3 linked regions of the Caenorhabditis elegans genome follow. The protein of the gene in region 3 interacts with the protein of the main gene of each other region in a pairwise test. Each region holds a gene or a part of one and is shown on either strand. Other genes may lie near its edges. The genes, in order: mrpl-54, piki-1 and arrd-11.

Region 1 (2,956 bases), on a different chromosome or scaffold from region 3:
GCAAGGGTCTCGTCACGCGTTCTAAAAACATTTTGTGTGTGCACCTTTAAGTTACTGTAAGAATTCTGTAACAAAAAAGTCAATCGAAATTTCCTTCTGAGATTTTTTGTTGAGAAAACACGGATATTTGCAGAAAAAAGTTTTTTCTAAATGTGCAACTTTTTCTTTTCTTGGACTTTCTCAATTTCACTAGTTTCATAATTTTCAGATGCAGCCTTCAACCAGCAACCATAACGATCCATATGCAACACAATTCGAAGACGGAAACTTTACTAATTGGGGAGAGGCCGAAATTTCCGATCGAAAAAAGTTTTTTGACAGTGTGCTCGCGGATCGTGCGCAGAAGAACCATGAAGAGGAGCAGAAGAAAAAATTGGCGAAGAAAAGAAAGTGAAATTTTGGCATTACATATATAAGTTCGATTTTTTAAGTAAAAGTAAAAATAAATTCATTTCTATAAACTAGATAATAGATTGATGCTAAAAATTTAAAAACAAATAAAGTCAACAATTGAAAATACTCCGGAACTTAATTCTTCTTCATACTGGGACTATTCTGCAAGTGTAGGAACTTAGTCTTCAACTTCTGAATTCGTTGATTTTGCTCGACTTGTCTTTTTCTTAGAGCTCTCCAGTACAACCATCCATCCTTTTCGGCATCCAAATCTTCTAAATCTCTTGGTGCTCGAAGATCCAATTTGAACAGCCATTCAGGATACTCCGAGTCTGGAAGAATTTTCGGTCCCGGCTCATCTCCTTGTGTGTATGCATTGATGCATACGTGGGTTGCCAATTTGACAGCATCTTCTTCGACGAAAGATTTGTCGACTTTTACACCTGCAGCAGCTGCTGCAGCTTTTGGTGGAGCATATAAGCGTCGAGGTATCAGTGATGTAGTTCGACTGACTGTTGAAAGAGTCGAACGGAGCATCTGAAATTTTGAAACTAGAACTCTTGAAATCGCACATACTCAAAGCAAGATAATATTGCGTTCAACTATGTACAAGCAAAATATCTTTAAATGTGATAATTTCATTTTTCGGGTCGAACTTTTCTTTAAAAAAGCGGAAAAAAGCTCAACCATGAACTGCCTCCATTTTACTTTAATTAATTTTTTAAAAGATTTACTTTATTTGCTTTTCGAATAATTGTTTTTACTATAAATAGAAAAACTGCAATTTTAGAATGTGACATTCTAGAATTTTTTGAAGTTATTATAAAAATTTGCTAGCTCCATCGAGAAATATATTGAAATTTTTCTCCGGCACACTTGATCGACATAATACATGCACATTAGATACGAAAAAGTATTCAAACTTCTTTTAAAAACAATTTTAAAATCTTATAAAATACAAGATCTTTTTGTTTAAAAATAACACAACCAGTCATAAAATAGAGAAATAAAATCCACAGATAAGTGAGAACAAAATACAGATATGTCAGAGGTTTTGAGGGGTAATAACTGTAATTCACAAAAAAAAAGCAATAGAAAAATTATTCCAAAGAGCTAAGTTTACTAGATCTGACACGTTTTGCAGATGCTGACGATTCTGGCGATTTCAGCAATCGTTTTCCTGTGCTCAATCGAGACGACGGTGAACTTATATGTCCAGTTGAGAGAGGAGTTGGCTTCTCAAAGCTTTGCACATACATCTGTTTTGCTGCACCTCCAGGTCCATTCAGAACTTCTTGAAATGTGACAGCAAGAGTGGTTTTTGACAGTAGAGATGGCTTGCTGAGTCTCGGTTTGAACATTGTTTCTTCGGAGAATTCGATTACAGTTTTTTCAGTTTTCTTGAATAACTTTCCGGCGCGAGCAAACATATCATCGCCTTGTTTCGGCTCATCGAGCAACATCAATTCTTCCGCCTGAAAATATTATGTAAAATAACTTCAAGAAACATATAACTTTTTTAAAAACTATGCATAACATTTGAAAGAATTTTAATATTTTTGGATTTCATTTAGAATATAACAAAATCAAAAGGAGTAATAATTTTTAATTACCTTTTTTCGAACAATGTTTTGTGCTCAAAACATTTTTTGTGGGAAATTATTATCAACTCACATGTTCATATTTGAACTTGATCATTTCGGCTCGTTCCTTCTTTTTTTGTTCATCTTCTTCTGGTTCATCATCTTCTCCATCACCATCATTTCCATCTACATCATCTCCCATTTGAATTTGAACTTCTTCTCGTAACTTGAAACGGAATTGACGATTCGTCTCAACTCCACCGAGATCTCCGTCGGCAAGTAGACGGTCTTGAAGTTTTGCAAGCTCTCTGGAAAATTATAAATTAATTTTTGATTCTACATGCCAAAGTAAAAAAAATAGAGAAAATATATTACCTTTGTTCCTTATCGTTTTCCTGTTTCAGCAACAACTTATGATTCTGCCTCCGAATAGTATCATTATCGGGAACATCATCTGCATCTCCTTCTTCTGCTTCATAAACGTTTTCCATGCCTTCTTCATCTTCTAGATCACTTCCAACATCATCACCGGAAAGTGAAGCTTCATCATCAAAAAGTGTTCTCTTTTTGATTTTTTGTTTGTATTCTTGGTGTTGCAAACGTTTCAAGATAGCTAATTCATCGTCTTCATCGTCGAAATTTGGATCCGGAGCTTCTACTCCTTCGGTTTCAGCTTCATCATTCTCACTCTCGATGTCATCTTCCTCTGGTTCTTCTTCATCATCACCTTCTTCTTCAGCTTCTTCAGCTTCTTCATCACTATCTTCACCATCACTCAGAACAACTCTTTTCAGCTCGGTTTTTTCTTCTAAAACTGTTTCTATCTTTTCAGTGAATTCACCAGATTTTTCGCAAATTTCTTTGATAGTTTCGGAATCTTCCAAAGTTCCCGATCCAAAAACGTCTTGGCTTGGCAATGTCTCCTCGATGACGTCATCTTCTTCGTCCGAATCCAAAACTCGATGATTTTTCACTGCCGG
Region 2 (4,693 bases), on a different chromosome or scaffold from region 3:
CGAAAGCACCACATTTGGCAAGAAAGTACATAGATACAATTAGGGAAACATATTTTTACAATATCTGATAAATATTTGACAAATTATGAAAAAAAATTTGGATTTTTTTGAATAAAAAATCCAAAGGGTCCGCCCTTATGAAAAATTTCTAAAATTTTTTCGAAAATTTTTTTTTGAAAACTTTTCTTAATTTGTTCATATGTCATAGAAAAATGTAAATTTGATTGTTTTTTTTAGTTTCGATGTTCAGAGCACGATTTCAGACGAAAACCTGGGGTTCAGTAGAACCCCTAAGTTCAAAAAACGCATTTCCTTTGGATGTGTATATCTTTGTTGAAAAATTTTTTCTGACAAAGTGATTAACTACAAAGTTGTTCATCTTAATCTAAAGTACAACTTTGTAGTTGATGGTGTTTTTTCAAAAAATTTGATGGCCGAGATATGAACAGAAAAAGACGAAGAAAATACAGGCATGAAAGTGCCGCAATTAACACAACTTTATCTCGACCATCAAATTTTTTGAAGAAATATCATAAACTACAAAGTTGTACTTCAGATTAAAATAAAAAAAACGCAAAACCCGCAGACTTGCTCCAACAGCTCCAGTTCTCCAGCTCCAGTCCAACAGCTCCTGTAAACGGGCGATTTGTGGCAGATGGCCTCTTAGTGGCTCCAAATCGGAAGTTTTTAAATTGGGCGAAGAAGTACAATCATCAGCATCGAATGTTGCCTAAAGTAAAAACATACTCTGAAAATTGTCTCAAAGTTAAACAATGCAATTTTATTGACTTTTGAAATAGTTCTGAATCAAAATGCAAGAACTGATAAGAAAGTGTGCTAATCTTTAAGAAAAAGTCGTTGTCTTGTTTTTTCGTTTCTTAAGGGCATGCGCTGGTGATTGGAAATGCGCAATTAATAGTAGTAGTGACGGCTGGTAGGTGTACACTGCATATTCTTTTTCCCTGACAACCGGACTGATTCACAAAATTTAGTTGTCTTGAAAAAATTGCGAAAGTATTGACATGAAGTTTTTGGATACAAATATTCCCCAAAACAATCCAAAAACCAAGTGTTTACTTTCCCCTTCGGTATGTGTTTTTTCCCGAACCGTTTTGCCGGGAAGAAAAAAAACAAGAATGTTTGTGTGTGGATTTACGTTACGGTGTTTGCACACTGTTTGTCTGCGCAGACACACTATCGCCTCCTCCTCCTGCACCGTTTTTTTTGTGTTGCCCCGTTCGTCCTCGTCTTCTTTTTTGGTTAAACAGGTCACTTGTCTTTGTCTTTCTTCCTCTCTTTCTCTTGTTCTCCCTCTGCGTCCATATGGTGTTTTTTGTTCTCTAGTTAACCAATTGGATTGATTAATGCAAAGCTCAATATGCGTTTTTTTTGCTGAATAAGCTTATTTCGAAATTATTTTAAAATTTGAAAATATTAGGCTTGTTATTTGTGTAGTAGCTGTTTCAACCATCATATTTTTATTAACATTAATAGTGAACATGTGAATAATTTATTTATTATTTTTTTTAGCATTTTCAAATTCTAGTTATTCATAGATTTTTATTTTATCCAGTTAGAATAATTTTCAGCTCGCAAACTGGGCGTGAAGGAGGATTATGAGCGACGATGAAGAGCTCCAACTAGCCATCGAAATTTCAAAGTGAGTTGTGTAAAAAGACACCTGATGCCCATGGCCCGGGAGACCCTGAGCACTTTTTTCTCCTTTCTTCTTCTTTCTTCATGACGTCTCACAATTTCAGAAAAACGTTCAAAGACGAGCAGAAGCTGAGGTCGAACGACTTGGACTTGATCCGATTTGAGAGTCCTGATGAGCCAGCGCGCCAGCGGAAAATCAACCAGATAAAGCAGTTGTACGAGGCGAATAGTCCGGGACCTTCGTCCTATTCGGGGTGAGTCATTTGGTATTTCAATTTGAAAATAGAAAAATTATTGTGTCAATTGTGACTCATAAACCAAAAAAAATTGAATTCTAAATCTTGGAAAATATGTTTTATAAATCTATTTTTTGATGAAGAACAAGCACAACCGATTCTATACGGTACTGTTGAAATTAATTTTTAACAAATTACAGCTTGTCAAAAATCAAAAGCGATTAAATTGACACGGAATAAAAAGAGCTGACGATTTCCTAGCCGGCTCAAAATTAAATAGTTATCATTGCAGCTCACTTGCCACAAGCCCCATTGATTTCCGTCCAGTCTACAACGAGCCTCGTGCTGGACCGATTCCACACTCGCAATCATATCCGAGAAACTATTTCCAAGACTGGTCTGCAATAGCTTCCACGTCCCAGCCGCCGGCGTTTCCACCTCCACCGAGGCCTCCAAAACCAGAGCAGTATAAGTTTCCACCGGCTCCATCAGTTCCATGTAAGTTTTAATTTTTATATTAGAAGAGTATACATATAATTAGTACGTCCTAAAAGTATAATATCATATCAATAAATACATTTTCCAAAAGAACAAAAAAAATCCTGTTTAATTTTACAAGGCTATTTAGTGCTCCATGATCGCTACTTTGTCCCACCACCACCACCAGTGCCGCCAAGACATTCGAGAGTCCAACAGTCACCTCCAGTGCCGATACATCCCACACCTCCAGTCTCTTCCACACCGCTCAGACATTCAGCTCCATCGTTCGCGTCGGACAGTCAGCAGTTTCTGTCCCGTGAGTTTATTCAAACAATTTATTGTCTTTTTTTTGGTTGGTTTGAAAAATTGAAGGAGACACTTGACGAAAAAGGGTCAGATTGTTTTTCTTGTTTTCTTTTTTGGAATTATGCAAAAATGTAGAGAAATTCCTGCGGTGTCATGCACATTCTTGAAAATGAAAAACATATATATTTGCTAAATACATGTATTTCTGAATTTCAGCCATTAAGCCATTCGAAATAAGTTTCAACTCGACAGTCGACACATCGTCTAATCAAACTGGCAGTCATGATCATAGCATTCAGTATCAGCCGTTAACTCATCTCTACGTGCCATACGTAATGCATTCCCTCAACTCATCGTACGGAGCTCTTCTCAATGGTGACTTGATTGATTTGAGCGCTTTTGAGGATAGCTCAAATGCTTCACAAGACGAGGTAGGAAAATTAGGTTTAAAGCTAAAAATATTAGACTTTTGCAAAGAAGATAATTTTATTAGTATTCTAGTGTATGCTATCTACTGGGTGGTCCATATTTTTTGATTATAGACCACCCAGTATCAGACAGATACTTCATGCTTCTCAACTAATTTTGTATGTAAACGCCCAAACTTTTTTGTCAAAGTAAATTTGCCAAAAACACTCTATTAAAAACACTTTATTGTATTAGTTTATATTAGTATTTTACATAGCACATGCTATCTACTGGGTGGTCCATATTTTTTTAAATTATTGTTGTGTCGTGACAAACGAAGCTGCAGTCCAAAGTCATTGCCACCATTCCACCAAAAACTCAGATGGTGCTGGATAGGAACGTGAACCTTTACTAGTTATCGACGTGAGGAAAGGGTCACTGTGAACTCTTCTTGTATTTTGGATTATTCCACACTTCTCCGGTTTAACTAATAAACCTTCTTATTATTCTCTATCGTCGTCACGACACAACAATTATAGACCACCCAGTATCAGGCAGATAGTTTTTAACTAAATTCAGGTATGCTTCTCAACTAAATTCGTATATTAACGCCCCAAATTTTTTTGTCAAAATAAATTTGCCAAAAAACACTTTATCCACCGATTATCTTTTCTTTCTTTTCATACGGTCAGAAAAGTGACCCTATCTCGAGAGGGGGACGTTTATCATCAAACGAGAAACAAATTGAAATTGATTGGTTTTGTCCACTTTTTTCCTTCCCCCTTCACATTAGGTCCTCCTCGGCTGAACTAATTCGAATTGTTCTTCGCATTAGGATCGCATAGTTCAAGTACTGCAATTCAAGTATTCAATAAACGTTTGAAAACGTTGATTTTTTTTCAGATCCGAAAAGAATTCGACCCACTGTTCATATCCACTTATTCCACCGACACACCCTCTCCAGACAACTCTATGCCAGCTGTGAATGCGTACTTTTCAAAGCCTATTGATGGTTGGCAGAAATATGAAAGTTTGCCAATAGGTGCATAATTTCAGAACCAGAATGTGTCGGTGGCGCCAAGCTGATACAAGAGAACATTGAATTCCCGTCATCCTCGTTTTGCCTCATTGACTGTCCAAACGGAATTGAGGAACAAGTGAAGAAGTTATGCAAGAGGAACTTGATTAGAAAGGATATGACTCCAGATTTCTTTATTGCACCCACCGTCGACTATATGGTCACTACAGCAAGTACAGTGAAAGTTGTAGTCTACAAAGATCACAGGTAACTTGATGTTTTGGAAAATGTACTAGGTACTAGACAAATGCACTGGAAGGTACCGTGTTTTCACAATAAGTAGGTAGGACTTACTTTTAGGCAAGTTTCCGACTTAATACTATTTGAGACTTCAGTATACGATGGGTTATTTAGAGTTTGAAATTTTTTGGTTTTAATTATGAATGCGTTTATTTTGAGCTGAAAGTTTAGCAAATCGTGGATGACTATGAGAAAAATTTAGCGACGAAACAGTGAAATTTAAAATCCAATATTCAACTATTTGAAGAGACTATGACAACAGGAAAAAGTTTGAGACTGAGTTACAGAC
Region 3 (4,554 bases):
GAATCGGCAAATTGCCGGAATTGAAAATTTCTGGAAAATGGGTAAATTGCCGGAATTGAAAATTTCTGGAAAATGGGTAAATTGCCGGAATTGAAAATTTCTGGAAAATCAACAAATTGCCGGAATTGAAAATTTCTGGCATATCGACAATTTGCCGGAATTGAAAATTTCTGGAAAATCAACAAATTGCCGGAATTGAAAATTTCTGGAAAATTAACAAATTGCCGGAATTGAAAATTTCTGAAAAATCAACAAATTGCCGGAATTGAAAATTTTTGGAAAATTAACAAATTGCCGGAATTGAAAATTTCTGGAAAATCAACAAATTGCCGGAATTGAAAATTTCTGGAAAATTAACAAATTGCCGGAATTGAAAATTTCTGGAAAATCAACAAATTGCCGGAATTGACAAATTGCCGGAATTGATAATTTCTGGCAAATCGGAAAACTGCCGGAATTGACAATATCCGGCAAGCGGCAAATTGCCGGAATTGAAATTTCCGGCGAATCGGCAAATTGCCGGAATTGAAAATTTCTGGAAAATGGGTAAATTGCCGGAATTGAAAATTTCTGGAAAATGGGTAAATTGCCGGAATTGAAAATTTCTGGAAAATCAACAAATTGCCGGGATTGAAAATTTCTGGCATATCGACAATTTGCCGGAATTGAAAATTTCTGGAAAATCAACAAATTGCCGGAATTGAAAATTTCTGGAAAATTAACAAATTGCCGGAATTGAAAATTTCTGGAAAATCAACAAATTGCCGGAATTGATAATTTCTGGCAAATCGGAAAACTGCCGGAATTGACAATATCCGGCAAGCGGCAAATTGCCGGAATTGAAATTTCCGGCGAATCGGCAAATTGCCGGAATTGAAAATTTCTGGAAAATGGGTAAATTGCCGGAATTGAAAATTTCTGGAAAATGGGTAAATTGCCGGAATTGACAATATCCGGCAAGCGGCAAATTGCCGGAATTGAAAATTTCTGGCATATCGACAATTTGCCGGAATTGAAAATTTCTGGAAAATCGGCAAATTGCCGGAATTGAAAATTTCTGGAAAATCAACAAATTGCCGGAATTGAAAATTTCTGGCATATCGACAAATTGCCGGAATTGACAAATTGCCGGAATTGATAATTTCTGGCAAATCGGAAAACTGCCGGAATTGACAATATCCGGCAAGCGGCAAATTGCCGGAATTGAAATTTCCAGCAAATCGGCTAATTGCCGGAATTGAAAATTTCTGGAAAATTGATAAATTGCCAGAATTGAAATTTCTGGAAAATTGACAAATTTCCGGAATTGAAAATTCCCGGCAAATCGGCAAATTGCTCGACAAAAAAACCTTGCTGATTTTGACTGAACATTTATATTTTTTCTTTTGTGCGTTATTAGTCATTCGGATATAAACATCATTGCTAACAACAATTTTAAAATTCTCTGAGGAATCGGTCGCTATTTAAACAACCAAAATCTGTTTTTGTTCTTGTTCTCTGTGAGTAAATATTGTTATCAGGTTTGATTATTTAACACACACCTGTAAATGAAAATACCCAGTAAGATGTCAACATCTTAATTGATCACTTGTTCTCTCTTCCAACATTTATTTGTTCTATTTTTCTTATGAAATATGAAACATTAAAATTCGTTTAAATTTCCCAATATTCTCCATTTTCAGTGTTCTCTCCACCGATTTTCTTCCGGTTTTTTGAATTTTTTAACGATTTTTTTCCCAATTTCCAGGGTTATCATGCCAGAAACTGAGCTTCATGTGATATTCGACCAACCTAACGAAGTTTTCTTCCCGGGACAACCGATTTCCGGCCGAGTGGTGCTCTCAACGACGGAGGAAAAATACAAGGCTCGGGCGGTGAATATCAAAATTTTGGGATTGGCTCACACTAGTTGGACGGACTACGACAGTGTTCGCAGAGTGTAAAGAATTTCAATTTTCTGTTCAAAAAATATTATTTTTAAAGAAAATTAAAAAAAAAATTTTTTTCGAATAATTAAATATTTATTAAAACTGTAAAATTGTGCCTAAATTAAGTCAGAAAAAGGGGGGGGACCTAAAATTGTCGATGCAACAATCAATATTTTTTAAAGAATGATCTGTAAGGAGTTATAATGTTCCGTAAAAATATTAATTTGATGAAAATTTGAAAAAAAAGTAAAATTAAAAAAAAAAAAAAAAACATTCATAATAAATAATTCAAATAACAAATAATAAAATTTTTTGATAAGCATACATTTTCAGTGACAATGACGGCAATGTGAGGTACGATTCAGAATCGGTTCATTACTCATCGAATGTGCACTACCTGGATCAGGCTCTGCTTCTGTGGGCTTGCAAAGATGGATCGGTAGGAATCTGAAAACATTTAAATTTGAAATTGTATAAATTTTCAGAATGAATTGTCTGCTGGAGATTACGTGTGGCCATTCTCATATACTCTTCCTCTCAACGTTCCGCCAAGCTTTGAGGGAAAATATGGATATTTGAGATACTCGGTGACAGCTGAAGTGGATCGGCCATGGAGATTGGATAAGGCGAAGAGACGGTGCATCACTGGTGAGGCGAGGCGTGGGCGGTCTTCTAATTTTTAGTATTACCGTATTTCCTTTATTAGTAAGACGCCTCGATTAGTTTTGCCCCCTTCGTTCTACAAGTTCAAGTGTCAGGCTGTCCCATTTCAGTTTGATCTACCCCGCATTTTTTGAAGATCAAAAAATAATGGGAGAGCCTGACCCCTCGTGCAAATTAGGAAAACTCGTACACATTTGGTATAACAAGTCGAAATTGGTAAGAAATGAATATGTACAACTCGGACTATTTTGCCTATTACATAGTTATAAAATTATTCGTTCAATTTGGCTCAATGTGTGTTATTCAAATTGATGGTATTGTGCCATAACTTATGGAGAACTTGTTCAAAAACTAGTATCTAAATAGGTCGCCGAAAGTATGCATGCCGTACTAAAAGAGGAAATATTCTATATCCTTTCAGTTTCCCCACTGATCGATCTCAATGCCATTCCCCTCGCACTCACTCCAATCGACGACGAAGAAAGTGAGAACCTGGGCTGCTGCTTCTTCAGAAAAGGTTACCTCGAACTGCGAGTAAACATCCCAAAAACTGGATTCGTACCCGGCGAGACTGTTCCAATGAACATCCATATTCTAAATCACTCCTCCGTGCCCGTCACCGAGGTCAAGGCGAAAATCATTCAGCAGTGCAAATTCATCGCTTATCGAAACGGGACTATTTTCCGATTTGATGGAGGTTCGGATACGCTAATGTCAGGATCTTCGCAGCAAACAAAGTACGACACTAAGCCCGTTATCACGCAGACACAGCCGATGACAGTGACTCCAGGGAATGAGCACAAGTTTGTGCTGGAATTCCGTCTGCCATCTGTAACTCCAACCATCTGTCGGTTCTCCCCGGTGATTACTGTAGAATACGTGGTACAAGTCCGCGTGGAGACCACTTCAACATGCGGGAGTGCTGCTAAGTGTGAAATGCCGATCCTTATAGGAACTGTACCTATTCGAAATTATCTTCCACCACCAATTCCAAACAACTACCCAATTGGCCTGCCACCACCGTATGCTAATCTTACTGATGTGAATGTGCCCTGTCCGAGCGGAGGTAGTGGTACGGCAGTGATTCCAAGTGGTGAGTTATTCAGAATTCCAGAATTATTTTCTAAGATTGAAAGTTTTCAGCTCCACCACCATCCTACCAGGAATCCATGTATGGAGTGGGAGGAACCGAGCTCAGAGCCGAGGAGAACGAAAAACCATTTGCTCCAAAATACCCAGTATTCAATAATTTGCCAATATATAACCCAACGGCGCCACCGTCAGAGTAGCAATTCTTAATCCAACTATGTTTGTTTTGTTATTGGTTAGGGTGCTATGCATAAACTTTCTTGACAGGTTGTTTTTTACTTCAGAAGATTCAAAAAGTCGTAAAATTTGATATGCCAAAATAAAAAATTTGCATTTAATATACACATCAGGCGTGAGCGGGAATTGCTGTTCGGCCAATTTTTTTGTCGACAAATTCAGCAAATCAGTAAATTGCCGGTTTCGCGATTTGCCGGAAATTCTGATCTTCGCCGAATTGCCGATTTGCCGGAAATTTTTAATTCCGACAATTTGCCGATTTACCGGAAATTTTAATTCAGGCATTTTGCCGATTTGCCGGAAATTTTTAATTCCGGAAATTTGCCAATTTGCCGGAAATTTAAAGCTCTGCCAATTTGCCGATTTGCCGGAAATTTCAATTCCGACAATTTGCTGATTGCCGGAAATTTTCATTTTCGGCAATATATATATAAATATATATATTCCACAACTTGCCAGTCTATAACCCAACTGCGCCAGTGCCGGAGTAACCATTTTTTGAGCACATGTTCTGTACAACCTATGGATGATAATTTACTATAATTTACTATAATTTAAATATTTTAAAACTAATAAATTAATTTTTTCCGTGACCGCTTGTTTAATCTCTCCACTTCCAATTTCCACTTCTTAAAAA

Evidence for each region.
Region 1: the proteins of arrd-11 (region 3) and mrpl-54 interact in a two-hybrid assay, tested with the Caenorhabditis elegans proteins (one large-scale study listed by BioGRID).
Region 2: the proteins of arrd-11 (region 3) and piki-1 interact in a two-hybrid assay, tested with the Caenorhabditis elegans proteins (one large-scale study listed by BioGRID).

Annotation. Positions count from the first base shown.
Region 1 is NC_003279.8:9,158,593-9,161,548, forward strand, and holds mrpl-54 (Large ribosomal subunit protein mL54), read right to left. Parts: upstream 931-2,956; coding exon 529-930; downstream 1-528. Other genes in the region: F25H5.10 (uncharacterized protein), read left to right, coding at 209-394; clsp-1 (Claspin), read right to left, coding at 1,494-1,868, 2,068-2,284, 2,352-2,956.
Region 2 is NC_003284.9:15,243,289-15,247,981, reverse strand, and holds the start of piki-1 (Phosphatidylinositol 3-kinase piki-1), read left to right. Parts: upstream 1-1,582; 5' UTR 1,583-1,616; coding exon 1,617-1,660; intron 1,661-1,760; coding exon 1,761-1,910; intron 1,911-2,184; coding exon 2,185-2,390; intron 2,391-2,520; coding exon 2,521-2,688; intron 2,689-2,894; coding exon 2,895-3,109; intron 3,110-3,989; coding exon 3,990-4,098; intron 4,099-4,142; coding exon 4,143-4,371; intron 4,372-4,693. UniProt on the Caenorhabditis elegans protein: Phosphatidylinositol 3-kinase involved in clearance of apoptotic cell corpses by phagosomes.
Region 3 is NC_003280.10:13,761,673-13,766,226, forward strand, and holds arrd-11 (Arrestin C-terminal-like domain-containing protein), read left to right. Parts: upstream 1-1,745; 5' UTR 1,746-1,754; coding exon 1,755-1,939; intron 1,940-2,261; coding exon 2,262-2,367; intron 2,368-2,413; coding exon 2,414-2,576; intron 2,577-3,012; coding exon 3,013-3,684; intron 3,685-3,734; coding exon 3,735-3,880; 3' UTR 3,881-3,970; downstream 3,971-4,554.